7 linked regions of the Mus musculus genome follow. The protein of the gene in region 7 interacts with the protein of the main gene of each other region in a pairwise test. Links are inferred from orthologs where the notes say so. Each region holds a gene or a part of one and is shown on either strand. Other genes may lie near its edges. The genes, in order: Gpatch2l, Zbtb8a, Zbtb48, Top3b, Chd2, Meox2 and Trim41.

Region 1 (2,505 bases), on a different chromosome or scaffold from region 7:
CATTTGATGGTGGTTTCAGAATCCAGACAAGACTTGACAGAGACACGGTAAGAGCCCTTGAGCATTCCTGGTGCCATGTCAAGTCCTACATCCTGTAGAAAAGCATACAGTTTCTCAAGATGGTCTTCATAAAACTGTCATGAGATTTGCCAACTCTGCTTCTTGGTTATATCATGTAAAGAGCAAAAGCAGAAAGTTTAAAATGTTTTAAAAATGTTACCATGTTGTGTGTATGGCTGTTTTGCTTGCTTATATGTCTGTGTACCATAGATATACAAAACTCACAGAAGTCAGAAGATGTTGGATACTCAGAAACTGGAGTTACTTAAGGTTGTGAGCCTCCATGTGGGGGCTGGGAATTGAACCCAGGTTCTCTGAAAAAGTAACCAGTGCTCTGAACTGCTGAACCCCTCTCCAGCCCCCAAACAGAGTTTCCTATGCTGCTGGTCAGAGTAGAACAGCCCAGATTTCCATGGCCAGGTGAATGAGCATCAAAACATGGTGTGTTCATACATGGGGTGCCATTTAGCTAAATTTGACTTTGTGACTGGCTGTTAGAAATGTGCCAAGGCTATCCACTTGGGTAGAATTACTGGATGGGAAAGAAAAAAAAATCTAAAATGTGCTGTATTTTAGTATATCTCAGTATATTTGTATTCTTGGCAGAGTGGGCACACGATGGGAGTGAGAGTGGTCTGTCATGATCCACTCAGGGGCATTTGGAAAGGTGAAGAAAGTAACGGCACATGGTGGGGTGCCGTTGGCGTTCAGTGGACTGGGTCCAGGGGGCACACAGCACAGCTCTGCATCAGCACTGGTTACCCAGTCCAGAGTGTCCCACCAAACTTCCTTAAAGTACTGTGCCTGATTCTATTTTCTTGTCGTATTTACTGGTAACTCCATCATATTGGGGGTCCAGTGTGCCAAGAAAACCATAGGGCTTCCAGCCCAATATTTGAGCGTGAATTGCTACTTTTGATCATTATTTTTTATTTTATTGTATTGTATTTTATTTATTTATTTTGGTTTTATGAGACAGGGTTTCTCTGTGTAGCCCTGGCTGTCCTGAAACTCACTCTGTAGACCAGGCTGGCCTCGAACTCAGAAATCCGCCTGCCTTTGCCTCTGGGATTTGAGTGCTGGGATTAAAGGCGTGCGCCACCACACCTGGCTGAATTGCTACTTTTGATCTACATAGTTTAGTTTCCTGATCCATAAAATGCAGATGACAGTGCCTACTTCTAAGAGTTTCCATTAAGAAATTAGGTCATGCAGGTAATGAATGCCACAGCTGTGATCCCAGTACTCAGGGGCTGAGGCAAGAAGACTGAGTTTGAAGCCATCTTGGGCTACTTCGTACGATGTTATTTTAAAAAAGAAACACACACACACACACACACACACACACACACACACACACACACATACCCAACATGGGGTGGGAGAGAAAGAGTGGGGGAGGGAGTCATGAGTGTCCAGTGCTTAGCAGAGCAGTGCCTGGTACATGTATGCTCCGTGGGTGAAATGTTTTGGGGTTTTCTGTATTGTAAATTTGTCCTAAGTGTTTTAAGTGAAGAAAACATTAACAGGTGATTAGGACATGAAATATAAAGATTAGCCACCGCCGCCGCCGCCTCTTCCTCCTCCTCTTCTTCTTCTTCCTCCTCCTCATCTTCTTCCTCCTCCTCCTTCATTTATTCATTTTATATATGTGAGTATGCTGTAGCTGTCTTCAAACACTCCAGAAGAGGGCATCAGATCTCATTACAGATGGTTGTGAGCCACCATAGGGTTGCTGGGATTTGAACTCAGGACCTGTGGAAGAGCAGTCAGTGCTCTTAACCACTGAGCCATCTCTCCATCTCCAGCCCCCAAGAAACTTATTTCTAGTGCTTCTTATCCTAACTTCTTACACTAACTCCTCTCCCTTCTTTTGTGACAGTGCACCCAGATGTTCTGGAGCCGGCCATCCCAGCTCAGAAGCCTCCTGACTCCGAGTGGTTGGACGGGACCTCTGCAGCAGAGAAAGCCACTGCCTTTCCTCCAGCCACGTTTTTCAAAATGCCACAGGAAAAGAATTCTGGCTGCAGCTCTAGCCCAGGAACCAATGGGTGTTGAAACTTTGTATTGTACAGTCTTAGTGTTCTGATTGGCAGTCTTGGGCCTAATGCCACAAGGACTGACTCCTCGTCACGCACAGCAGTTGCTCTTTCTTTGAGAAAATATTTGGGGAATCTTTTTTTGTAAAATATCAATTTTCCTTAAGTGGGTGGGGCACCCTCTGCTGTCCCCTTCCTTCGTTGCTCGCCCACCATTCACCTTCAGCTGCTGCCTTAGAGCTGCCTCTCCTTGGCAGCTGTGTCTTTGTTCCTGAAAATCTAGCAACAGCTTTTGCGTACCTTCTGTGTAGAGCTTTTCATGTCGCTGATGAAATCCTAAATTTGCAGCCAGTTGGAAACACGTTGCTGGATGGGATTGTGTCTGTGCAGTAAGGCTGGCCATCGA
Region 2 (4,233 bases), on a different chromosome or scaffold from region 7:
TTCTACCCATTTTACTAATGAAGGCACAGCACTGTATTTACCCTCATTATGTATGCCACGAAGAGGTGCCTTCCGGGAAGCAGAAAGAAGCCACACAGGGCACCATAATCTTGTGCTTCCCAGCATCTACCAGTGCAAGAAGTAAATATCTGTTCTGTTGTTTTCTTCTAGACAGGGATTCCCTGTGTATGTAGCCCTGGTTGGCCCGGAACTTGATCTGTTGACCAGGCTGGCTTCCAAAACAGAGAGATCTGCCTGCTTCTGCTGGGATTAAAGGTATGCAACGCCACGGCCCAGTAATATCTGTTCCTTCTATGTGACCTGACCTTCGGTAATCTTAGTAGCACATATGGTCTACAGGGTCTAAGATAGGAAAGTCTTAGAATGAAATGTTAGAACACTTAAGAGGGACTGGGTAGATGGCTCAGCAGTTAAAAGCACTGGCTGTTTCTCCAAGGATCTGGGTTCAATCCCCAGCACCCACATGGAGGTTCACAGCCATCTCTAACATCCATGTAAGGGGATTCAACACCCTCATCTGGCACCAGGCAAGCACTTGGTATACTGGCACAAAGGCAGGCAACACACACACACACACACATATATATATAAATCTAAAAAAAAAAAAAAATAGAGAGAGACTCGAGTTTTGAAACTATACTTGGAAAGGCCTCACCGAGAAGATGACATCTGAGTGATTGGTGTCCATAGCAGGAAAGAATGTGTATCTTTGAAACTACTCCAGGCAAACCAAACAGCAGGTGCAAAGGCCGTGAGGTGGACAGGAACAGATGGAGGAGGGATGGGTGGGGAGAGGAGGTCACTGTGGTGTGCCAGTAATGTCGGCTAACCCCAGGGTCTTGGGAGGCGGGGCAGGAAGAAGTAAGACCAAGGCAACCCTGAGAAAACCCTCATCTCATAATAAAATTAAAATTTAAAATAAGGGGCCTGGGGATGTATCTCAATGGTAACATTTACCTAGCCCATGCAAGGCCCGGGTTCAAAATACACACACACACACACACACACACACACACACACACACACACACGCCACACGCACACACACCACACACACCACACACACACACACACACACACCATGGGGGTTTTGGATTTTTTTATTTTTTTAGTAGGATGTGAAGGAGCCATTTAAGGTTTGGAGAGGGCTGGGTTTAGTGGTAGAGTGCCTATGTGACATGCATGGGTTCAATTCAAGTACAGGATAATATCAGGTGTGGTGATCTATGCCTGTAATCCCAGCATTTGGTAGGGGCTGCAAGAGAATCAGAGGTCCAAGATTTAGGGCTAGCCTGGGGTACATGAAACAGTGCCTTCAAAAAAAAGATATATAAAATAGCTTTTTAAAAGAGGAGTTTTAAAACTTATATTAACGTCTTTGAATATTAAAAAGTATATAATTGTGCCAAAAATTTGCCTAGTGCATCCCAGCCCTCCCGAGGTGGAGGTAAGATCAAATTTTCAAGTCTAGCCTGAGTCCGCTTTAAAACAAAGAATAAATAGGTAAATAAAAGTGCGATTTAAGTGATAAAATCAGCGAAGGTTTTGGTACTTTGGAGACTGTTCCGGGACGCTGCAAGAACAGGGCGCCTTGGGGGGCTGCCACGTCTCAGCTCCCTGCCTAGGGATGAGACTCCCTAACCATTAGCGTTTTATTTTTCCCCCTTTCCCCTTTGCTAGGTAGAATAAACAGCCGGAACCCGTAGCCGTCTCATAAGAAATTAAGTGCAATATTTCGTCAAAGTGAAACCACTCCATTTACTAAAGTTCTGCAAATAGAAAGACTTCTAGGTGTTGGCGGCGTGTGTGGTTGGGTGCCCGCTAGGTGTGAATCCTATTCCAAACACGTCTCGCAAAGACGTGGATTACGAATAACCGCACGGTCAAGGGCGAGTAAGCGCGCCAGAGCGCGAAGGGACTAAAGCCGACAGTGTCTCCAGGTGGGAGATGCCAGGGACATTCTGCCGCGGGGCCAGCTGGGGCTCCATATTTCTGCCCTCGGTTCTAAGCCCAGAACTGTCGCGTCGTGATGGAAAACCAGAGAGTGGAGGGCGGAGTGAGACCGCCGGGCTGCAGCGCCCCGCGCCCCGCGCCCGACGTCTGCAGACACGCCCGGCCCCGTGGCGCCGCCTCGCCGCCGCGGCCGTCAGGAGGCTCGGGCGCCTTCCCGCCTTTCCCCGGGCCGGGCCAAGGCTGGCGGCGGGGCGGGCGCGGGCGGCGACGGTGCAGCCATTGTCCCGCAGCCGCGCCCGGGGCCGCCGCCGCCGCCCGCGTCTCCTTTGTGGCCGTCGCCGACCCTCGGAGCCGCCGCTCTGCGCCCCCGGCTGCAAATGGCGCCGGGTGCCCCCTGCGTCGCCCGGCGCACCGGCTGGGGTTGCAGTCCCGGGGCGCACCCCGGCGGCTCCGCCGCCCTCCGCCAGGCTCTGGGCCCGGCCCGCAGCCCCGACGCCCGGGCCGCCCTCCTCCCGCCCGCGCCCGTGCAGCCACTTACCGCGGGGCTCTAGCCGCTCGCTCGCTCGCTCGCTCGCGCGCGCGCGCGCTGCGGAGCGATTCCCGGTTCCGGGTAGGGGAAGCAGCCCCTTTCCGAAGCCGAGGCTTTGCGCCCTAAAACAAGTAGCCCCAACGTGGGAGAAACAAAAGGTATTTGCTGACGTGGGCGTTGGACAGAAACGCCCGAGGGCTGAGGACACAATTAAAGGGGCAACGCACAGATTTCAGGCACCAACCAGCAGCTTCGCCCACTCCCCCTGTCCGTGCCCACGCCCGACTGCACCCTCCGCAGGCACTAGGGCGCCCAGGTTCCCCAGCAGTTGATTGGGGATCATTCTTTTAGTCGGGAGCTTAAATTTTAAAATTGTACTTTACGTTGGGAAAGGCGCCTCCGGAGGGCAGAAGGGCTGGATTTCTAATATGTGGAGATATTGGTTCAAGGAGAGAGGGAGGGACTTAGGCGTGCCCACAAATACTGTATACATGTGACATTATTGTACTTAAGTTTAGCGACGTAAAATGGGAGAGAGTTCCACAAAATCGCCCTTTGACGAAGCACTTAATTTCAGTTATAGCCTTTTAGAAACCTCTGTAGGTCCCCATCAAGCCCTTTGAAGAGGCAAGCCCGGAGGGGCTGAGATTAAGAGGCCGTGATTCTTTATATAAAACTAGTACAAAACAGTGTTTCGTGTTTTCAAATATAAAAATTGGTCGTAAAATCAAGTTTCTCTTCTGACGTGACCCTAATATTTATGGCACACAAATATCAGGTGATACATTTCCTAAAATAGTAAACCGCTGAATTTTCATACTGCTTAAATTCCACAAACTAAATTAGTTTTCTACTTCTTCACGCTGATTGTCAAGTAATGCGGAATGGGGGAGAAGATTCAAAGTCTCAAAGCATGCGTTTAATATTTTGAGGCGTTCCTCTCCCAAGCCTCAGTCAAGCCCATCAGGGTCCTATTTCTCCGATCTCCTCACTAAGTAACTATGTATTCGAACATCATTCTCTCTGAGAATACAATACAGTCATTTCTGAATGAAAAAAAAAAAAAAAGGAGAAATAAAAAGGAAAGGGACATGCCTGGTCCTAGGTATAGTGGAGGAGAAAGTTTATTATAGATATGTGGGAGAGCACAGCCAGAGGCAGGAACATCTGGGAGAGTACAGAGTGAACTGAGCTGTGCCCTGTGATGTGGGGTGGGGGAGGGAGGAGAGAGAGCAGCAGAACCAAGTACAGCAGGAGACCCAAATTACAAAGAGGGTAGGGAGCCAAAATGGTTGGATTATATAGGGAAGAATAGCTCAGCCCCCTGGACTGGAGGATTCAAGCTAGGGGGCCGGATATGCCAGCCTAGAGGACCCTGTAACAGGTATTGGACTGAGGGATGCTGGGAGAACCTGGTGGCCAGGTCAGCTTTGACATGTTAACTAGGCACCCCAGCTATTTGTCCCAGGTTTGACACCTAACAGTTTCTTAATGTCACACCTGTTTACCCCAGGGGTGCTCTGTGATTAAGATTCGTTTCCTGGACTTTTGAGGTAATGGGAGATAATGGAAGGAAAGGTAGACCAGTGCTTATTTGAAAATCACTAGGACAGGGCTGGTGAGATGGCTCAGCGGTTAAGAGCACTGACTGCTCTTCCAAAGGTCCCGAGTTCGAATCCCAGCAACCACATGGTGGCTCACAACCATCCATAATGAGATCTGACGCCCTCT
Region 3 (3,965 bases), on a different chromosome or scaffold from region 7:
CTTCCTCATGCTGGGTTCCTTGGTAGCTGGGAGTTGCAGCCTCTACAGCTTCTTCGGGAAGCCCACGGTGCCCGCGTGCTTGCTGCGTCAGCCCCTCTTTTCTCTCGGGTTTGCCATTTTCCTCTCCTGTCTGACAATCCGCTCCTTCCAACTGGTCATCATCTTCAAGTTTTCTACCAAGGTACCCACATTCTACCACACTTGGGCCCAAAACCATGGTGCCGGAATATTCGTCATTGTCAGCTCCACGGTCCATTTGTTCCTCTGTCTCACGTGGCTTGCAATGTGGACCCCACGGCCCACCAGGGAGTACCAGCGCTTCCCCCATCTGGTGATTCTTGAGTGCACAGAGGTCAACTCTGTGGGCTTCCTGGTGGCTTTCGCACACAACATCCTCCTCTCCATCAGCACCTTTGTCTGCAGCTACCTGGGTAAGGAACTGCCGGAGAACTATAACGAAGCCAAATGTGTCACCTTCAGCCTGCTCCTCCACTTCGTATCCTGGATCGCTTTCTTCACCATGTCCAGCATTTACCAGGGCAGCTACCTACCCGCGGTCAATGTGCTGGCAGGGCTGGCCACTCTGAGTGGCGGCTTCAGCGGCTATTTCCTCCCTAAATGCTACGTGATTCTCTGCCGTCCAGAACTCAACAACACAGAACACTTTCAGGCCTCCATCCAGGACTACACGAGGCGCTGCGGCACTACCTGATCCGCTGGGGCTGTTGAGAATGGGCAGATGAGATGGGCTGAAGGTGGCGGGTCGAGTGGGGCGGAGAGCTTGAGGTGTCTGGGAGAGCTCAGCCACGGCTTGCGATGTATAAGCACACAGAAGGATCCAGTGCAATAAAGACGTGAAACGTGTGTGTGTGGCTTCTTGGCTGCTATTCCGGTCTGGGGACAGCTTGGGACCGCACACCAACTAGCTGGAGTAGGAGCCTAGCGCCCAGCTTGGCGTTACTAGGCGACTCGGGACCCAGCGCGGTTGGATTTACCCTTGGTCCCGCCCCCTATGCTGCCCATTGGTCTCTTTCTGAGGCTCCGCCTTTGAGGCGGGACCCGAGGACATTGCGCCACGGAGGCGTCCGGTTCTTGCCTGCGCGCCTGTATGTCACATCCGGCGCGGCGGCGGTGGCGTCTCCGCGCTGTGGGCCGGGCAGTAGTTAGTCTTGTGGGCGGTGGAAGTGGTCTAGGCCGGAGCAGTGAAGCCGGTGTGAGCCGGGAGGACCGGCGGGGTGAGGAGGGTGCGGGAGGGAGGTGGAGAGCCGCCTCGGGCTCTCAGGAGCGTGTGGCCGCCGCCTTCCGCTTGCCGCCCGCCCGCGATGTGCAGGCGCGGCGTGGGCTTGGGTCACCTGTGCGCAGCCGCCGCCCTGCCCTACTGGCTGTCCGTTGGGTGCTCTACAGATCAGCTGTCGTCCACGCTGGTCTAGCCCCAAACTCTCATTTTCATTTTTTCCCCACCAGCACCCTATCCCGACTGCCCCTGTCCTGTCTCCCGCCATGCACTTCCTCTCCCGCTCTCTCCCCTCCGGCCAACCCATGCCGCTCCCCGCCCCCAAGACTCCACTCTGGCTGTGTACTCTGTGTGCACTTTCTAACCTTGACCCAAGCCTGCATCCCGACATGGGTGGATGTGCAAGTGTCCATCTCACTCTCGGTCCAAAAGGGCTTTTCCGATTGGGGCTGAGCAGAGGGGTCATGTTTGCCTTCCCTTTCAGATTATGGACGGTTCCTTCGTGCAGCACAGCGTGAGGGTTCTGCAGGAACTCAACAAGCAGCGCGAGAAGGGCCAGTATTGCGACGCCACACTGGACGTGGGGGGCCTGGTGTTCAAGGCGCACTGGAGTGTCCTGGCGTGTTGCAGCCATTTCTTCCAGAGAATCTACGGGGATGGCACAGGGGGCAGCGTTGTCCTCCCAGCGGGCTTTGCTGAGATTTTTGGCCTCCTGCTGGACTTTTTCTACACTGGCCACCTCGCCCTCACCTCAGGGAACAGGGATCAGGTACTCTTGGCAGCCAAAGAGTTGAGGGTGCCTGAGGCTGTGGAGCTATGTCAGAGCTTCCAGCCCCAAACCTCAGTGGGACAGGCACAGAGTGGACTGGGTCAACCTGCCTCCCAGGACGTGAAAAGCCACCTGAAGGAGCCGACAGACTTGGATGAGGAGGAAGTTTTCAGGACTCTGAGCCTGGCCTCCGTGGATCAGGAGCCCAGAGACACTGAGCAGCCCCAGCTGGGTACACCTGCTCAGAGCACCACGGCCTTCCTCTGTGGGAAACTCACGCAGGCTTTGAAGCCTTCTCCCTCAGAGGACAAAGAGTCTGAGGACTGCAAAGAGCCCCCAAGGCCCTTCGAGGCTGGAGGTGCCCCGCTGCAGGGCGAGAGCAATGAGGTACTGTTTTCAGGGAACTGGGGAGGCAAGCATAAGGGTAAAGACCGACACTTCGGGAGCAAACATGGGAAGCCAGTGGTCTCAGCTGACCTTCTGCGAGCTACACTTGTCCATGGTTGCCAGCTTCCTTGGGGTGGAGTGAGCGTCAGGGTTACAGGTATTTCCTTAGGTTAGTGATCCTGGCCAGCTCCCTGCTAACATAGCCACTATGCTCCAAGTCCAAGATTGCAGTCTCCTCTGGGCCCTGCAGGGAACTGTTGTCTCTGGTGAACGGACCATCTGGGGGTGGGGCTTATGTTGGAACTGAAGGCTGGGTCCTGCTGATACCTGGGTGACCCTACCCCCTCCTGCTGCCTCCTCTGCTCTAGTGGGAAGTGGTGGTCCAAGTGGAGGACGACAGGGACGGTGATTACGTATCTGAGCCTGAGACTGTGCTAACCAGAAGGAAGTCAAAAGTGATTAGAAAACCCTGTGCAGCCGAGCCAGCCCTGGGTGCGGGTTCTCTCACAGCCGAGCCCACTGACAGCAGAAAAGGTGCAGCCGTTCCGGTCGAATGTCCCACATGTCACAAAAAGTTCCTCAGCAAATATTACCTGAAAGTCCACAACAGGTAAATGCTCTGCTTGTTTTAATTTCCTTTTCCTATCTGCCCTTCCGTGTTGCAGCAGAGGGTCCTGTACTCCCCTCCTCCGGGCTCTGCGGGGCTGGGGATCCTAGGTCAGGCCCAGACAGTGGCTGGTCAGCATGCCACCTCTTCCTGTCTTTCTGTGATTGTGGGTTTGTGGATACCTGGTCAGTAGATTCTACCCACTGTGGAGTTTGACTGTGGGCAGGCCTCTGGCCCCTTCCTGAGCTGAAGCTGAGGTCTGATAGACAGTGTGGGCTGTGACAAGAGGCTGATGGAGAGGACGGAGGCTGCCTGTGTTTCTGGGGATGTTAGCTTTGTAGGTCAGTGATGTATAAGGAGCCATTTGTCCAACAGGGACCTTTTATGACTTGGAGGTTTGTCCTCTTGTTAGTTTTGTCAGGCTTTTTGTTTGTTTGTTTTTTGAGACAGGGTTTCTCTATGTAGCACTGGCTGCCCTATAATTCTCACTGTGTAGACCAGGCTGGCCTCCAATTCAGAGATCCACCTTCATCTGCCACCCAAGTGCTGGGATAAAAGCCATGTGCCACCATACCTGGCTTGTTTTGAGTTCAAATTACTTGAGATCCCATACCACATGCCAGGCATGGTGGTGTACACCTTTGATCTCAGCACTTAGGAGGCAGAGGTAGGCAGATCTCTGGGTATTGAGGTCAGCCTGGTCTACAGCCTGAGTTCCAGGACAGCCAGGGATACACAGAGAAGTCTTGTCTCGAAAAAACCAATGCCCTCCCAACACACCGAAAATAATAATAAAAGTGAGTGCTGTAGACACAGCCCCATCTCAGCTGCTAAGTAGACATACTAGTCTCCTGCAGTACCGAGCCAGGCTGTGTTGTCAGTGCGTCACTCTGGCAAGCCACTGGTGCTCACCTGGTGTAGGAGTGAGACCTGTTTGTCATGCCTGGGCTTTGGCCTTGGGGTAGATG
Region 4 (4,050 bases), on a different chromosome or scaffold from region 7:
CTCCTTAAACCTAAGCCTCATATCAGACCCCAAATATGTGTGGGAGCAGTCACTGGGCCTCTTTAGATGTTCCTCTACCATATGTGAGCACACTAAATAAATCTCCTTCCTCTGCTTTTTAGTATTATCTCTTTTAATTACATTTTTATTTTCATTTCTTTTGTGTTCACATGGCCAGCTTGGCAGCCACTGTCTGCCTGCTGAGCCATCTTATAGGTTTCTTACTTGTCTCGTTGACAAGTTGGGGCTGTCATAGCCAGTCTTGGTAACAAAAGGATGGCTTAAAAACATAAGTTTGAGGCCAGCCTGGGTCCACAGTGAGTTCCAGTGAGTTCCAGGATGGCCTTGGCTACATAATGAGACAATCTGAATATATACATACATATATATATATATATATTTTTTTTTTTTTTTAAGACAGGATCCCACTATTTTGCTCTGGCTGGCTATTCTGGAACTCAATGTGCAGATGAGGCTGGCCTCGAACTCACTGAAATCTGCCTTTCTCTGCCTCCCAAGTGCCGAGATCAAAGTTGTGAGCCACCATACCAGGCTATTAAAAAACGGTATGCTAATAAAGTCATCAAAACTATTTTAAAACTTCCATAATTCTAATACTCTAAAAAAATTACATATTATCTTCCAGATACATTAACACAAGTAGTGTGGTCTTCAAAATTTTAAAAGGTGCTTTGTTTTGTTTTGTCTTGTATAGCCTATAGTCCCAAGCTGGAATGAAATTCACTATGTAGCCCTGAATGACCTCTAACTCGCTGTCTCAACCTTCTGATTGCTTGATTCCTGGTAAGAGCCACCATCCCGCTCACAGATGTTGCTAACACTGAAAAAGCCTGCTATCTGAAATGTTTAAATTATTTTAATTATTGGGCTGGTTAAGTGGTTAAGGACCTGGGTTCAATTCCCAGTACCCATATGGCAGCTCACAACTATCCCCAGTTCCAGGGAATTTGACACCCCCGCACGGATGTGCATATGCAAGCAAAACACCAATGCATATCAAATAAAAATAAACTTTACATTTTTATTTTAATCATTAATTGCATATTTTCATCAGTTCTCGTAATCATACTGACAATCGTCATTAATGTCTTCTCCGGATGATTTTTTGGAGACACAATGGAGACTTGGGGAGCCCCTGCTGCTCCCAACAGGAAGCAGACAGCAAGGCACCCGGAACTCACCAGCCTCGGAACTTGCAGACACCTTAGTGTCGACATCGGAGGGCAGATGAGGGGACGCCACAGACGGACAGAGCCGGAAGTGAGTTCGTGAGTGGCCACCGGGGAAAGCACAGCCGGAGCGAGAGGCGCAGCGGCACGGCGGGTGAGCAGTGGGATGCTGGCTGCTCGAGGAAGCGGAAGACGCTGGCTTTCCCCAGGCATTTCCGGAATGGTAGCAGCGCTCCGACCCGGGCGGGGGCGTGGGGGAGGGTCCTGCCCTGGCGCGGCTTTTTCGCCATCCAGCCCTCGCCGTGGGGCCTCTGGGCGGCGGTGGAGCCGCGTTTAGTGGGCAGTGGTCGCTTTTCCAACGAGCTCCCCGCGGCCCCGAGGTGAGACGTTTCCCCCTAGTTGAGGGTAGGGAAACCGGCTCAGGGAAGTTGTGCTGCCCACAGAGGCTCAGGCCTGCGGTTTGCGTTCTTATCCGAAGGTTCCACTCGCTGCCTCCCGGAGCCTGCTCTGTCTGGAGACCCAGGCTGTTCTCGGACTTGATCTCTGCAGATTAGGAGAAAACTTGGGTAAACCAATGAGCTAGAGTCGAGGGCCAGCTAGTTATGCATAGGGAAGAACGGATGACCTCTCTTAACCTATTTGGAACCCGGCCTTTGGGAACAGGACTGTGAAAAGCCAGGACGACTTGGATTTGATAGCCAGAGAAAGGGGGGAATTTTCACCGTTCGCCAAGGTCCCTTGTCGCTAGTCTGAATTGTTATGCACTGCGATTTATTCTGGCTTTTTAAACTAGGATGATGAGATGGCTCAGCGCTCTTACAACCAAGGTTCCGACCCCGGGAACTCACGTTGTAAAAAGAGAGAGCTGAATCCCACAATTTGTCTTCTGACCTGTGACCGGCAGCATGTGCGTGCCCATACATATCCACACACAAAATAACTGTTTATTTGTTTGTTTAACTTTAACTCCTATTTTATAGCAATGTTGGTAGACAGAGCTGCAGCATACTAGATACAAAGAAGGAGTTAAGAGACAGGCTTATTTTCCTGGATCTGTAGGTGATTAAAAGTCACTGAAGTGTTAAATTCTTAGATTTCCCATGCTTTGCTGACCCCTTTTGGGGCTCCTCAAGTTAAATCCACTACTACATAATACAAAAAGAAACCTCCATATTTACAGTGCTTTCCAAGGGACACTGATTAGTGAGGTGTGGCAAAGAATGGGCAGGTTGTCTTGCTATTCTCTCTTTGCAATCCACACCTAAATAGCCCTTTGCTTACCTAACTCCAGAATAGGACAAACTATAGTGTCAGAGCCTTGGCAGAAAAGACTTGGTATATCATGTAGGTTTATGTTAAGGAGTCTTATTTAAGTGATCATATATAAAAATTTTGGCTAGACATTTTGGTGTACTCCTGAATTCCCAGCACTCAGGAGTTGAAGATAGGAAGATCAAGGCCGTAGTGGCTATATAGTTAAGAGGCCAGCCTTGGCCACACAAGACGCTGTCTTTGCCCAATACACACACATACACACACACACACACACAGCAAAAGCTTAAGTGAATAGTGTTGTTTCAGAGTCACAAAGTGTGAGTGTGGTGTGTAGGTGATGCTTATAAGCCATCAAGTCCAGGTTTTCTCATTGGTTTTCACTTTGAAATGGAAGATGAGCCTTAATTAGGGAAGTCTTGACATTAATCACAGTTACAAAAGCTCTCTAGAGTAGAATCTGGTCTAGGTAAAGGGAAATGTTCCTGTCAAGGCCCTGGATTGTCTAGTTCTGTACCTTAAAAGAAGAAAAAAAAAATGTTTTAAACAGCTTATTGCTATGTAACTGAGTATAGCCTAAAACTCAAGCTTCCCCTGCCGCATCCAGCCTCGTGAAAGATGCAGTTACAGGTGTATGCCAGCATACTTGGCATTAGAAATCTTTTTTCTTCCTTTGAAATAGTGATAGAGCATTACAAAGTCCCCTTGTGCTGAAGTGCTAAAACTACTTACTTGTTTTGAGTCAAAGCTGAAGATAAATGTATATTCAAAGTGGACGGCAGCTGCATAGCCTGGCAAGTGGACGGCAGCTGAGAGCGAGTTGTGCCTTTCTATTACTGACCTTTACCTGGATATGTGACAGAGTCCGGCTAAGGCAGCGTGTCTGTGTCTGAAGGGACTTGTCAGTCTAGTCAATAATTTGGATCTTAGGTTGTAGAAGAGAAGAAGAGATACAAAATTCCCAAAACTTGGAAACCAGAGAGAAAGAATGCCTAGAAATAGAAGTGTTTGCTGGCAGTAACGTTAGGTGTTGCTGCTGTTGCTACTGCTGCTGCTGTTTTTAATGTGATGAGGTCTCACTGTGTAGCCCTGACTGTCCTGGAACTCACTGTATAGACCAGGCTGCCTTCAAACTCATGCTAAGAGATCTACTTGCCTCCTACCAAACCCAACATAAAGTAAGTTTTTGGTTTGGTTTGGTTTGGTTTTGATTTTAATGATATATAAGCATATTATTAGTTTTACAGGTAAAACTGTTGTCATGTATTCAGAGATTCATTCAATTGTGTTTGCTCACCATCTACTACTTCCCATTAGAGTGAGAAAAAAAAGTCCCTGCTGTCACATAGCTAGCTTATTTTTCAGGAGCTATAAGGTAAGAACCCGATAGGAGTCTATATCAGGCTTAGTAAGTACTACAGGGCAATATAGCAAAAACATTCTTAGAGGCAACAGGATAGAGCACAGGTTCTAGAGCAAACAGGTTCAGGGTCAAATCCATGTCCTACAACTCCAGCTCTAGTGTGACCCATGTTCCCATTATAGAACAATATGATGACAGTGTCTCCATCCCAACCACAGTGGCAGG
Region 5 (3,500 bases), on a different chromosome or scaffold from region 7:
TCAGGGAACAGGGAGAAAACTGTCATACTTTTAGTGACCTTGCAATTATTAAGTGTACTGAATTTAAAAGAGCCGATTAATTTTATACTGTAATATATAAGACACCCAGTATAAAACAGGAAAGCAATGACTTGTCTTTTTTTTCTCCTTTTGTAAAATAAGATGAAAATATGACATTCCCTTTGAGACAGGGTTTTCACAAGCAGGAAATAAAAATGCACTCAGGACTGTGTGCCACGCAGTAGCAGCTGACCCTGTGGTAATGCTCATTTAACAGGACAGCAGGCAAGCCTAGTAACTCGGAAAACTGGATAATAAACGTGTGTTCTTATTTCAGTAACACTGTATCCCATGGTGCTTATGCACGGCTGAATAAGCTGTGCAGCCTGTGGAGGCCCTGTACTAGTCATGCTTGCTAGCTTTCCCTACGGAGACCCAGTACTGTGAGCAGTTAAGGACAAAGAGAATTTGGCACTCTGAAACATGAGGACAGCAGCAATATGGACTTAATTGTCTTCAGGACTGTCAACAATTTTAACCTCAAAGACAAAGTAAAAACTTCTGTAAACTCGGAACCCTTCCAGTCATTTCTCAAAAAAACCAATCAGCAAAGACCAACTAAAAGGGCCCAGGGTGTGCTTATGAGCCCTGCACGTGCTACTTCGTGTCTGCCCAGCAGGCCTGTGTCAGGGCCTCTCCTGTGTCAGGGCCTCTCCTGTTCAGGGCCTCTCCCGTGCATGGGTTCTCCCTGACGAATCTATATGTGCAGTCACTCAGGACAGGCAGAAAGTGAACTTCCCTCTCACCTCACCTTTTTAGTGGAACTGCGAATCCGAGGCAGCATATAAATTTCTTCCAGCTCCTTCTGCCGTTCTTCCTCCTCCACTTTTTTCCTTTGCTCTTCGGGAATAATTTCATCCCAGTCTTTGTGAGGACGCTCTTCTAGCTCCTCTTCATCTTCCATTGTTGCAAAGTTGGCAACCTGAAAGACAAAAGACAACCCCCGTCTGACATTTCTCAACCTCCAAACACCATCTGCAAGGTATCAGCTAAATGAACATTTTTAATTTAGAACGCTGTAATAGGACTCATAATATTATGTAATCAAAATAATTTTTTTACTATTCTCACCTTTTTATTTCCCCCAAATCAACTTAACAAAGCTATCAGTTCATCAAAAATTTTATTAAAATTAGGGAAATAGATATAGAAAGGTTAAAAACTGTTTGGTAAGTTTTACTGAAATAAGTGTATTTCACTTGCATCGCACTGCCTGGGTAATTTCACGGGCTTAGACTGTAGGACATGTTTGGCACCTAATTATCATCCATGATGATCCCACATCCCTCTATGATGAGCTGCAGCCAGCTCTCAGTCACCCTGTCACCTTACTCACCTTTATCAGAAGTGTAACCAGTCAAAGTATGTATGTGCTCAAAAGCCCATCTTAGTCTAGAAGACACACCATTTGTCCACTACCAAATGCTGGCGGTAACTGCAGTCTAACGGTATGTGCCCCAAGAGAGCAAACCAGCAAGCCTCCAGGCTCGGGCTGCACTCAGACACCAGGCAGCTCCCTACGGAGCTCCCAGGCTCGGGCTGCACTCAGACACCAGGCAGCTCCCTACGGACTGTGCTGCCAGCGCAGAGTCCCAGTTCCAGTTTCTCGCTCTTTTATACTCCTTCCTTCTTGGCCTAAGAGTCTGCTGGAGCACAAATGGACCTTTACAGTTTACATTCCTCAAAGTCACTTGGAGGTAACACAAAATCAAATCAAAACTTTATGATGTGTAGTTAAAACTAACTCTTCAATTTTCAGTAAGAATATTTTGATCTTACAATCACATTTTTTAAATTTCAAGAAGAAGCATAATTTCTGAGACCGTTAAAAACAAACCATCTCACTGTCAATTATTTTTGCAAAAACTAGTTGTGCTGTTTACAAAAGTTTAAGTCTGGGGTTTGATAGTAGCTTGTTTATTTTGTACACACACATGTCACTGCACGTGTTGTAAAGGACAAGGACAGCCTGGAAGAGTCAGGTCTTCTCCCTCGACACTAAGTAAGCAGTCTCCTAGACCCAACAACTTTCCCTGACATGTTTAACTCTCCCGTGCACTCTGGAAACACTTGCTACCCTGACTATCCTCCAGACTCCAGACCAATCTCCCACCCTAGGATTGCCAAGTGACCCAGGTTCCCTAACAGTAGGTACTGGCTGGACAAAGTCACATGGTGAGTGGCTCCACAGCAAAGAAACCACCTAGATTTATGTCACTCCCAACCAACTTCTCCCCACAGGCACTCTAACTCACAGCTGTCCCAAGACTTCCTGCCTCTCAGCAGAACTCAAGTCACAGACTTAATTCTCAAACTCTCCCTCCTCGGCACTGCGGTGATCTATTCCTTTTTTATGTTTTTATAAGACACTAATGACTATCCTTTATCAACCCTTTAGGAGGGGAAGGACAAGAGAAAAGGAAAAGAGAGTAAACAATAAAGGATAGGGAGGGGAAAAAAAAGGTCTAAGAGAATATCCCTCCAAAACCAAAACTGTAAACCAGGTACTGATGGCATATGCCTTTAATTCCAGCACTTGGGAGGCAGATCTCTGAGTTTGAGGCCAGCCTGGTCTAGAGAATGAGTTCTAGGACAGCTAGGGCTATACAGAAAAAACCCTGTCTCCATGAGGTAGGGGAGTCTCTCAACTCTCCCCTACAATTCCAATGCCTTTGACTTCTCTTGGCATCTGATGTCATGAATGGCTCATATGCCTCCATGCTTCTGGTCTTTTGCTTATCCTGTTGGCAATACATCAATGTCCTTTCCTCTGCCCGTGACTCTAGAAAGGACGGTTCACTTCAGTGCTTACCCTCATGGAACACTGCAGACTACAGTCCTAACATCCGAACTCAGAACGACACTAGCACGAGTTAATTCAGGTAAGGGAGGAAATAACAAGCCTCGTACAAACACAGAGACTAGACGAAGGGAGCTTCTAGTTAGTAAGTCAGTGTTGACTGGTTCCTCCCACATGGTCTTCATCATACCTTAAACTGTGAGAGCAGCTCATCTGTCGCACTAGTTGACACTTCATTCTCTCTGGTTTCAGCTAAACGCAAAATTTCATCTATATCCATTTCCTGAAGGAACAAAAGTAACAGAGATACAGGAGAAAAGCATCAGTCTCCGCATGGACTACAAGCCTTAGGTGCATGCACGCCTCTTCCCTACTACTCTATCTACTCCACAGCCTCAGGCACATCTTTCAAACCCAACACTTCCCACTGCTATTCATTTATAGTCAGGGAATTCTAGGAAAGAAAAATATGGGGAGATACAGAATCCTTCAAGGTTTTATCTGATCCTATTTAGTGTTGTAAAAGCTTTGAGCTTAGCAAGAAATAAAATTTTTTAAAAAGCCATATCCCTTCAAATAATTACTTTGTTTATAAAAATTTCTAACAAAGTATCTTTCCTAAAAAATTTAGATGTTCATA
Region 6 (4,085 bases), on a different chromosome or scaffold from region 7:
ATCCCCTTGGCAGACACTTCCTAGATAGGAACAGGCTTTCCTGCAGCCCACTCTCCCAAGCTTGTTGTGGGTTAAGGACAGGACTTCCAGTAGATTCTGTGGCCGCCCAAGCTAATTGCTGTGTCAACCCCAGCCCCTGCTCTCACAAATTCACTGGTGGCAAGGTGTGCAGTTAGTTCATTTCCAGGAGCACAGGCTGTAAACCTGGGGGAAATGAACCATGATAGCAGGGTCCACGCTGAGGGAATGTTAAGTTTGCTATCTGCTTAAAACAGAAAGGTGGTGAGGAATGGAATGTATGCAAGGAGCATTAGCTCTGTGAGCTAAAGAGAGATTTCATTTCTCAAAGGATGGGAGCGGGCTGTGAATTGGCTCCTGCAGGGTTAAGCTAGCTAGGAAGGGTGAAGCTGGGAGCAAGTTAGACTTGCTCATTTGACATTTTTTCGGGTTATTCTTGACCCCCCCCCTCCCAATTTCCTCGGTGAGCAAATGGTGAGAAAATTTCGCGAACTGGACTGGTAAAGAGAAGTAGGGGTGGGAAGAGGGTCAGAAAAAGAAGGAAGGGGGACACCACTTGGAGCAACACTTGTGTGTCGCCAAGGCGCCAGAGCCTACATCCACCTCTGTGTCGCGCACACCCCATTGTATATCTGTCCTTTCTGCACTCAGAGTAGCACTGTGCTAGCCTTGGTGCACAGCTCTACAACCTCCGCCCTGGCTCTAGGTTTTCTAACAATCTATTCTCAGATACCTAAAAGAGAATAAACCTAATGTGTTTACGCTGGAACCGTGAGTGGCCTCTGAGTTTGAAAAGCTCGACAGACTAGGCTCTTCTTCTCTTGAAAGTTCTCTTGAAAGTTCTCTGTGGTCTGCAAAGTCAGGGAGTAGTCAGGGAGCTCCTGCAGGTGACCCCAACCCCCACCAAGGCTGAGAGATCTAGGTTCCAAGAGCAGTGAGCTACTCAGAGACACTGTGTGCTGGCTTAGGGAAGCTGAGTGCCTCTGCGTCTGGCCATGGGAACCTATGGGACAGATTGCGGTGGCCCGGAGCGACTGAGGCTCTGGGAGCACCACTAGCTGTGGTGGAAGCTCCCAGGGCCCGACGGGCGGGCGTTGGGCAGCGGCTCCTGTCCTGCCAGCAATGGGAACTGGAAATGAGAGAGCACGGTGGCGCTGACTGAGCGGGAGTTTTGGAGGGAGTTTGCATGTGGTCAGCGCTGGGCTCCTAAGCCAGCCCCCAGCTCACATTACACTCTATTTATAACCTCTCAGAGCCATTTCCCCCTGAAAGCAGTTCTCTGGGACCACCTTCTTTTGGCTTCCACCTCTCCCACACTTGACATCTGAGCAGCTGCGAAGGAAGCTCCTCCAGGTCCTAGTGTTTATACGTGCAGGAGACTGGCCGCTAAGGCTCAGGACTGGGATTAGCCGGCTCTGCTCAAATGCAAACGCGCGCGGCTTTTACTTTTGGAGTGAGTGGGGGAAAGTCTTAGGATTTCCAGTGAAAAGTGACAGCGCTTGGTGGACATTCGGACCGTCCGTGAAGTCTTCTGCTTGGAAGCCGAAACTTGCATGCCATGGAACACCCCCTCTTTGGCTGCCTGCGCAGCCCCCACGCCACAGCGCAAGGCTTGCACCCCTTCTCCCAGTCTTCTCTGGCCCTCCATGGAAGATCTGACCACATGTCCTACCCCGAACTCTCCACATCTTCCTCGTCTTGCATAATCGCGGGATACCCCAACGAGGAGGGCATGTTTGCCAGCCAGCATCACAGGGGGCACCACCACCACCACCACCATCACCATCACCACCACCAGCAGCAGCAGCACCAGGCTCTGCAAAGCAACTGGCACCTCCCGCAGATGTCCTCTCCACCAAGCGCGGCCCGGCACAGCCTGTGCCTGCAGCCTGATTCGGGAGGGCCCCCGGAGCTGGGAAGCAGCCCTCCGGTCCTGTGTTCCAACTCATCTAGCCTGGGCTCCAGCACCCCTACCGGGGCCGCGTGCGCACCAGGGGATTATGGCCGTCAAGCGCTGTCACCCGCAGACGTAGAGAAGAGAAGTGGCAGCAAAAGGAAAAGCGACAGCTCAGGTGAGTGCGGGCAAAGCAACCCTGGGGAGAGTGCGCTCTGGGCTAGGAAGATGCGGGGAGGTGTGGGATGTTTCTCATAGAAAGACAAACTGTGAAGCTGCTAGCCTTTCCTCGCTCTGGTGGGCGAGTTCATCCATGGAGCGTCCGTCCTGTAATTCAGGAGCACGTGTTTCACTGAAGTTAATATATCTACATCCAGCCGTTCAAAGCCCTCCAAGATCGCAAATCAGTTTTCCAGAAGTGGTGAAGAAAGAGCAAGTGACACTATGCAAAATCGGTTAAGGGAGCGTGGCGGGTCCCTCCACGGGTTGGGAGGGGTGTGCCCATTGGGATGCTGCATCCGCTGGGCATGCATGCCTGCGTGCGTGTGTGCGTGCATGCGGGTTTCCTTGACTTTTCCCTTCCAATTCCCAACTCTGAACAACTCGACTTTTCCTATCCTTAACTGGGTTTCCAAATTATTGCGCAATGCCTTGAACTTTAACTGGATTTGACCAAATACGAGAAAAAGAAAAGGAAAGAAAAGAAAAGAAAAGAAAAGAAAAGAAGAGGAGGAAAAGAAAAAAGGAAGAAAACGGAAAAGGAAAGAAAAAGATAAGGAAAAATTAAAGAAAGAAAAAGAACAGAAACCTAAAACTTTTTTTTTAATATTTTTGCTTTCAGAGTTCCTTAAATAGCACCTTTCTTAAAATGATATTTAAAAAACAAACAACCCCTCCCCAAACATTCTATTTATTTGGCGAAAAAGTAATTATCTAGTAATCTAGAAGTGTTTAAGGAATACCTCTGAAAACTTTGAATAAAGAGTATTCTTATAGTAATTACACTCATATGGTGCTAACCTGGTTTGGGGGGGGGGGGGGGACGGGGACGGGAAACAAGCAAAAAGTCCAAATCAACCAACCAACCAAAACAAAATGTTTGAACTTCGACTGTGGAAAATAAAAGCCTTCATCAATTGAGTAGTGCTTTGAGATGCAGTGGAGAAAGTGGACAGATAACAGTCCTGACAGTGCTGGAAGAAGATGCAGGGAAGGTGTGGGTAACTTGAGCAGTCCTACAAAAGGGGAGCCTCCCAGAAGAATTCAGGGGCCTGGAAGTCCAATAGCCAGTGCATCCTGACAGCACAGAGAAACTAAAAATTTCCAGGAAACACAACAAAGCCCTTAAATACATTCCTCATTGTAAATGTTCTCTCTCTCTCTCTCTCTCTCTCTCTCTCTCTCTCTCTCTCTCTCTCTCTCTCCTTCCTTCCTTCCTTCCTTCCTTCTTTCCTTTCTTTCTTTCCTTCTTTTTTTCTTTATTGAATCTTCTATGTAGTTACAAGGCAACCTGGATACAGATTTAGAAAGACGTCACTTAACTAGTAAAATGTTTACATATATTACGTTTTCTGTGCTAGTGTCTCGAGAGAACATATAATTCTAGGCAATAGTTTGAAGAATTGAAAAATAATAGCATTTTAAACATTTTAGGCAAGGTGTTCTGCAGTGTAGGGCAGTAAGGGCTGTGTATTTTGTAATGTGTTGAAAGATGATAGAAATTTTTCTTGACCTCGGTGTGGGGTGACTCCTTGCTTCCCAGCCTCACTATTGAACCTGTAATTTTTCAGGTCCTGGGTGAACGATTAATGATGCTTCATCATGATTAGTTATGTCTAAGAACTCGGTCATCGCTGTTATTCTGTTTACTGGTTATCTCTAACTGTATGTGAAATCCTAAGATACCAAAAAGGTTCCTAAGAAGGCATCAGAACGCACTGGGTTTCCCCAGATTGGGCATTTATGAGCAGAAATGCATGGATTGCTTTGGCAGGTTGCTATCTACTTCAGGGAGGACCAGAAGCTCGGATTCCGTGTTTTCTTTCCGCAAGGGGGAAACTGCGCTGCTTCTTAGCTGAACCAATGCCCTAAAGATTATTTGCGCACACGAAGGAATTTTTTTTTTTTTTCAGGCACAAGTTATTTTTGGTTGGGGAAACAGGGAGAGTGAGAC
Region 7 (3,500 bases):
GGTAGTATTTCCATTGTATTGGGTGTTATGAGACATTTAAAATATATGGGAGAAAAAGGGATTATTTGCATATCTGCTGATTTGGGTCTCCTGGAAACAAACCCACTTGAATATCTAGGAGCAGCTATACCTATAAAATGTTTTACCTGTTGCCCTAAGTGTATAACATTTACTGTTTGCAACTTTACAGGAGTTTGCTGACTCCTAGTCTAGAGAACTTGAGTGACTGCTCTCTTCTGGTGACTGTGACTACTGAGAGTCAGGACTTAACTGTGTGGCATCTTCCTTTTGTGTTTTGAGAAAGGGTTTTATATTGTAGCCCAAGCTGGCCTCAGATGTGGAATAATTGACTTGCTTCAGTCTTGAAGAGTTTTGGCATTATATGCATGAGCCCTTATGTCTAAGTTCACTTCATATATTGCTTCCTGAGTTCTCTCATTTGGTAATTTCAAAAATTTCTTACCAAGTACCTACCTGTGGTTGGCACTGTGCCAGCCTCTGATGACACTGTGGTAAAGGATTATGCCGGTCCTATCTGTGGGAATATGTGGCATAGTAGAAGAGAAACTTAAAGGACACCACAAAGCTGGGCGGGTGGCTTATCTTTAAATTAAACTAGCAGAGGAGGTAGAGACAGGAAGATTGTGAGTTTTAAGTCAGCCAGGGCTACAGAGCAGGACTCTGTCTCAAAAACAAAACTTGACTGGCAAGATGGCTTTGTTGGTAAAGGTATCTGTCACCAAGCTTGCTAACCTGAATTTGATCCCTAGGACCAAGTTGGTGGAAGGAGAGAACCCACTCTTTGTTTTGTTTTTCGAGACAGGGTTTGTCTGTGTAGCCCTGGCTGTCCTGGAACTCACTCTGTAGACCAGGCTGGCCTTGAACTCAGAAGTCCGCCTGCCTTTGCCTCCCAAGTGTTGGGATTAAAGGCGTGCGCCACCACTGCCCTTCGAGAACCCACTCTTGCAAGTTGTCCTCTGATCTTTACATGTGTCCCCACTCCTGTCTGTATTCTAACATAGCATTTCCAATACCATACACTATGGAGATATAGTCAGAAATACAGAGTTGGTAGTACAGAAATCTGGAGAGGAGAGATTTTTCATGTCCTTTGGAACATGAAAGTTTCCATCTGAAAAGCAAGTTAGGTAGACAGGGAAGAGCTAAGTATTCCAGAAAGCAGTTGGTGAATGTGAAGCAGGATGCAGGAGTTGGCCTATCTCAGGGTCAATAAGACTGAGACGGGGGAGGAGACTTCTCTTCCCGTTCCCAGGACACGTTGGAGTTAGGGAGCGTGAGACTCCTTTGCCTGAGATTGAGAGGCAACAGACAGAAAAGGTCAAGTTTACCTTTTTGTGTATTCATTCAGGTGGTAGCCTCTATTCCCATTGCAACTCTCCTTTTTTAAATCTTAGTGTATGGATGTTTTGCTTGCATGTATGTATATGTATGCAAATATGTTCATTTGCCCTAGAGGCCAAAAGAGAGCATCAGATCTCCAGGAACTGGGGTTACAGATGGTTATGAGCTGCCATGTGGGTGCTGGGAATCATACTGGGTTCCTCTGGATCACAGAACTGTGTCTTCATGTCTGCCTTTGCATCTTTTCAGAGCCAGATGAAGTCAGAGCTGGCAGCTGTGGCCTCAGAGTTTGGGCGGCTAACAAGGTTTCTGGCTGAAGAGCAGGCAGGATTAGAGAGGCGCCTCCGGGAGATGCACGAAGCTCAGTTAGGACGTGCGGGAGCAGCAGCCAACCGCCTTGAAGAGCAGGCTGCCCAGCTGAGCCGCTTGCTTGCTGAAGCCCAAGAACGGAGCCAACAGGGGGGCCTGCGGCTACTGCAAGTGAGCGTTGTTCCCCTTTGCCCTGATCCACTCTCCTGCTTCCTCTCTGTTCCATTAGGCAGTTTCTCTCCAGCTACTGCAGAACTGCCTGTACCTCGAACAAGACTTTTTTTTTAAAAAGCTGGTGACAGTATTGAGTATGTGTGTGGCAATCATACCTACCTAAAGAATGCAAATTCGGTTGTTTAAATTAGGGGGTTAGGAGTTGAAAGAAAGCCCGGTGTGGTGGCACACGCCTTTAGTCCCAGCACTTGGGAGGCAGAGGCAGGTGGATTTCTGAGTTCGAGGCCAGCCAGGGCTACACAGATAAACCCTGTCTCAAAAAACAAAAAAAAAAAAACTAGTAATAGCATTCTGATAGTTTCTGGTAGGATGATTAAGTCTTTGTGGTAGTTATGGTAGTTGAGAAATATTCTTGTTTATTGTGAGCCTGGAAGGTGCTGCTTTCTCCCTTCCTGTTCACATTCAGACCTTTCTCTGCTGAAGAGAGCAGTGACCCCTGTGTAGCTGACACTTTCTTTCTCTTTTTCCCTTTCCCTCTTTTTGTCTCTGTTATTCCCAGGACATCAAGGAGACTTTCAATAGGTGTGTTCCCACTCTACCCTTTGTAACCTAGTAGTGTCTGGTTCCCCATTTCTGCTTCTCTGAGACTTCCTTTCCTTTTCCCCTCCCCTCCCACCCTCTCTCCCCAGAACCTAAGTTTCTGCTTCTCAGACCCTCTGCTCCTTCCCCTTAGCTATCATTCTTCACTCTGGGAATATCATGCTCCCACCCCCTACCTGGTCCCCCTCCTCCAGGTGTGAAGAGATACAGTTGCAGCCCCCAGAGATTTGGTCCCCTGACCCATGCCAACCCCATAGCCACGACTTCCTGACAGACGCCATCGTGAGGAAAATGAGCCGCATGTTTTGTCAGGCTGCAAGAGGTAGGGAGGTTTTTGCCTTTCCTTTTGGCTTACTGGGATGGTGTAGACTACTGGAAGCTACTCTGAGGTTCAAGCCAAAAGTTGCTTCCATGATAGCCCAGCTAAGTTTTGGATGAGATGGAAAGTCAGGGACAGGCCAGCAGGTGTTAGAATTAGGGTGAAGGTTAGAACCCATAGTTCTTGAACTTGACTTCTAACATAGGGTGGGAACTAAGAAGATGGGGTAGGATGGTGTGATGGGAAGCTGTTTTAACTCTTTTTGTATGTCTCTTTCCAAGTGGACCTGACACTGGACCCTGACACAGCTCACCCAGCTCTGCTGCTGTCCCCTGATCGCCGTGGAGTCCGCTTGGCAGAACGTCGGCAGGAGGTTCCTGAACATTCCAAGCGCTTCTCAGCTGACTGCTGTGTACTAGGGGCCCAGGGCTTCCGCTCTGGCCGGCACTACTGGGAGGTAGAGGTGGGTGGGAGGCGAGGCTGGGCAGTGGGTGCTGCCCGTGAATCAACCCATCATAAAGAAAAAGTGGGCTCTGGGGGGTCCTCTGTTAGCAGTGGGGATGCCAGCTCCTCACGCCATCATCATCGCCGCCGCCGGCTCCATCTGCCTCAGCAGCTCCTACTCCAGCGCGAAGTGTGGTGTGTGGGCACCCACGGCAAACGATACCAGGCACAGAGCTCAACAGAGCAGACACTGCTCAGCCCATGTGAGAAACCACGGCGCTTTGGCGTATAC

What was found.
Region 1: the proteins of Trim41 (region 7) and Gpatch2l interact in binary tests that used the Homo sapiens proteins (3 or more experiments, as listed by UniProt). The two-hybrid records come from large-scale screens. The link is inferred for Mus musculus from reciprocal best matches to the Homo sapiens genes TRIM41 and GPATCH2L.
Region 2: the proteins of Trim41 (region 7) and Zbtb8a interact in binary tests that used the Homo sapiens proteins (3 or more experiments, as listed by UniProt). The two-hybrid records come from large-scale screens. The link is inferred for Mus musculus from reciprocal best matches to the Homo sapiens genes TRIM41 and ZBTB8A.
Region 3: the proteins of Trim41 (region 7) and Zbtb48 interact in binary tests that used the Homo sapiens proteins (3 or more experiments, as listed by UniProt). The two-hybrid records come from large-scale screens. The link is inferred for Mus musculus from reciprocal best matches to the Homo sapiens genes TRIM41 and ZBTB48.
Region 4: the proteins of Trim41 (region 7) and Top3b interact in binary tests that used the Homo sapiens proteins (3 or more experiments, as listed by UniProt). The two-hybrid records come from large-scale screens. The link is inferred for Mus musculus from reciprocal best matches to the Homo sapiens genes TRIM41 and TOP3B.
Region 5: the proteins of Trim41 (region 7) and Chd2 interact in binary tests that used the Homo sapiens proteins (3 or more experiments, as listed by UniProt). The two-hybrid records come from large-scale screens. The link is inferred for Mus musculus from reciprocal best matches to the Homo sapiens genes TRIM41 and CHD2.
Region 6: the proteins of Trim41 (region 7) and Meox2 interact in binary tests that used the Homo sapiens proteins (3 or more experiments, as listed by UniProt). The two-hybrid records come from large-scale screens. The link is inferred for Mus musculus from reciprocal best matches to the Homo sapiens genes TRIM41 and MEOX2.

Annotation. Positions count from the first base shown.
Region 1 is NC_000078.6:86,286,858-86,289,362, forward strand, and holds part of Gpatch2l (G patch domain-containing protein 2-like), read left to right. Parts: intron 1-1,942; coding exon 1,943-2,118; 3' UTR 2,119-2,505.
Region 2 is NC_000070.6:129,375,229-129,379,461, forward strand, and holds the start of Zbtb8a (zinc finger and BTB domain-containing protein 8A), read right to left. Parts: upstream 2,801-4,233; 5' UTR 2,512-2,800; intron 1-2,511. UniProt on the Homo sapiens protein: May be involved in transcriptional regulation.
Region 3 is NC_000070.6:152,024,813-152,028,777, reverse strand, and holds the start of Zbtb48 (telomere zinc finger-associated protein), read left to right. Parts: upstream 1-1,165; 5' UTR 1,166-1,235; intron 1,236-1,241; exon of another isoform or gene 1,242-1,631; coding exon of another isoform or gene 1,632-1,721; coding exon 1,722-2,390; exon of another isoform or gene 2,391-2,559; intron 2,560-2,758; coding exon 2,759-3,000; intron 3,001-3,965. Other genes in the region: Tas1r1 (taste receptor type 1 member 1 precursor), read left to right, coding at 1-712. UniProt on the Homo sapiens protein: Plays a critical role in transcriptional regulation and chromatin remodeling. Acts as a regulator of telomere length. Directly binds the telomeric double-stranded 5'-TTAGGG-3' repeat.
Region 4 is NC_000082.6:16,869,486-16,873,535, forward strand, and holds the start of Top3b (DNA topoisomerase 3-beta-1), read left to right. Parts: upstream 1-1,250; 5' UTR 1,251-1,570; intron 1,571-4,050. UniProt on the Homo sapiens protein: Releases the supercoiling and torsional tension of DNA introduced during the DNA replication and transcription by transiently cleaving and rejoining one strand of the DNA duplex.
Region 5 is NC_000073.6:73,468,747-73,472,246, forward strand, and holds part of Chd2 (chromodomain-helicase-DNA-binding protein 2), read right to left. Parts: intron 3,144-3,500; coding exon 3,051-3,143; intron 983-3,050; coding exon 812-982; intron 1-811. UniProt on the Homo sapiens protein: ATP-dependent chromatin-remodeling factor that specifically binds to the promoter of target genes, leading to chromatin remodeling, possibly by promoting deposition of histone H3.3.
Region 6 is NC_000078.6:37,107,255-37,111,339, forward strand, and holds the start of Meox2 (homeobox protein MOX-2), read left to right. Parts: upstream 1-1,285; 5' UTR 1,286-1,576; coding exon 1,577-2,090; intron 2,091-4,085. UniProt on the Homo sapiens protein: Mesodermal transcription factor that plays a key role in somitogenesis and somitogenesis and limb muscle differentiation. Required during limb development for normal appendicular muscle formation and for the normal regulation of myogenic genes.
Region 7 is NC_000077.6:48,807,392-48,810,891, reverse strand, and holds part of Trim41 (E3 ubiquitin-protein ligase TRIM41), read left to right. Parts: intron 1-1,611; coding exon 1,612-1,842; intron 1,843-2,404; coding exon 2,405-2,427; intron 2,428-2,534; coding exon of another isoform or gene 2,535-2,541; exon of another isoform or gene 2,542-2,620; intron 2,621-2,639; coding exon 2,640-2,767; intron 2,768-3,045; coding exon 3,046-3,500.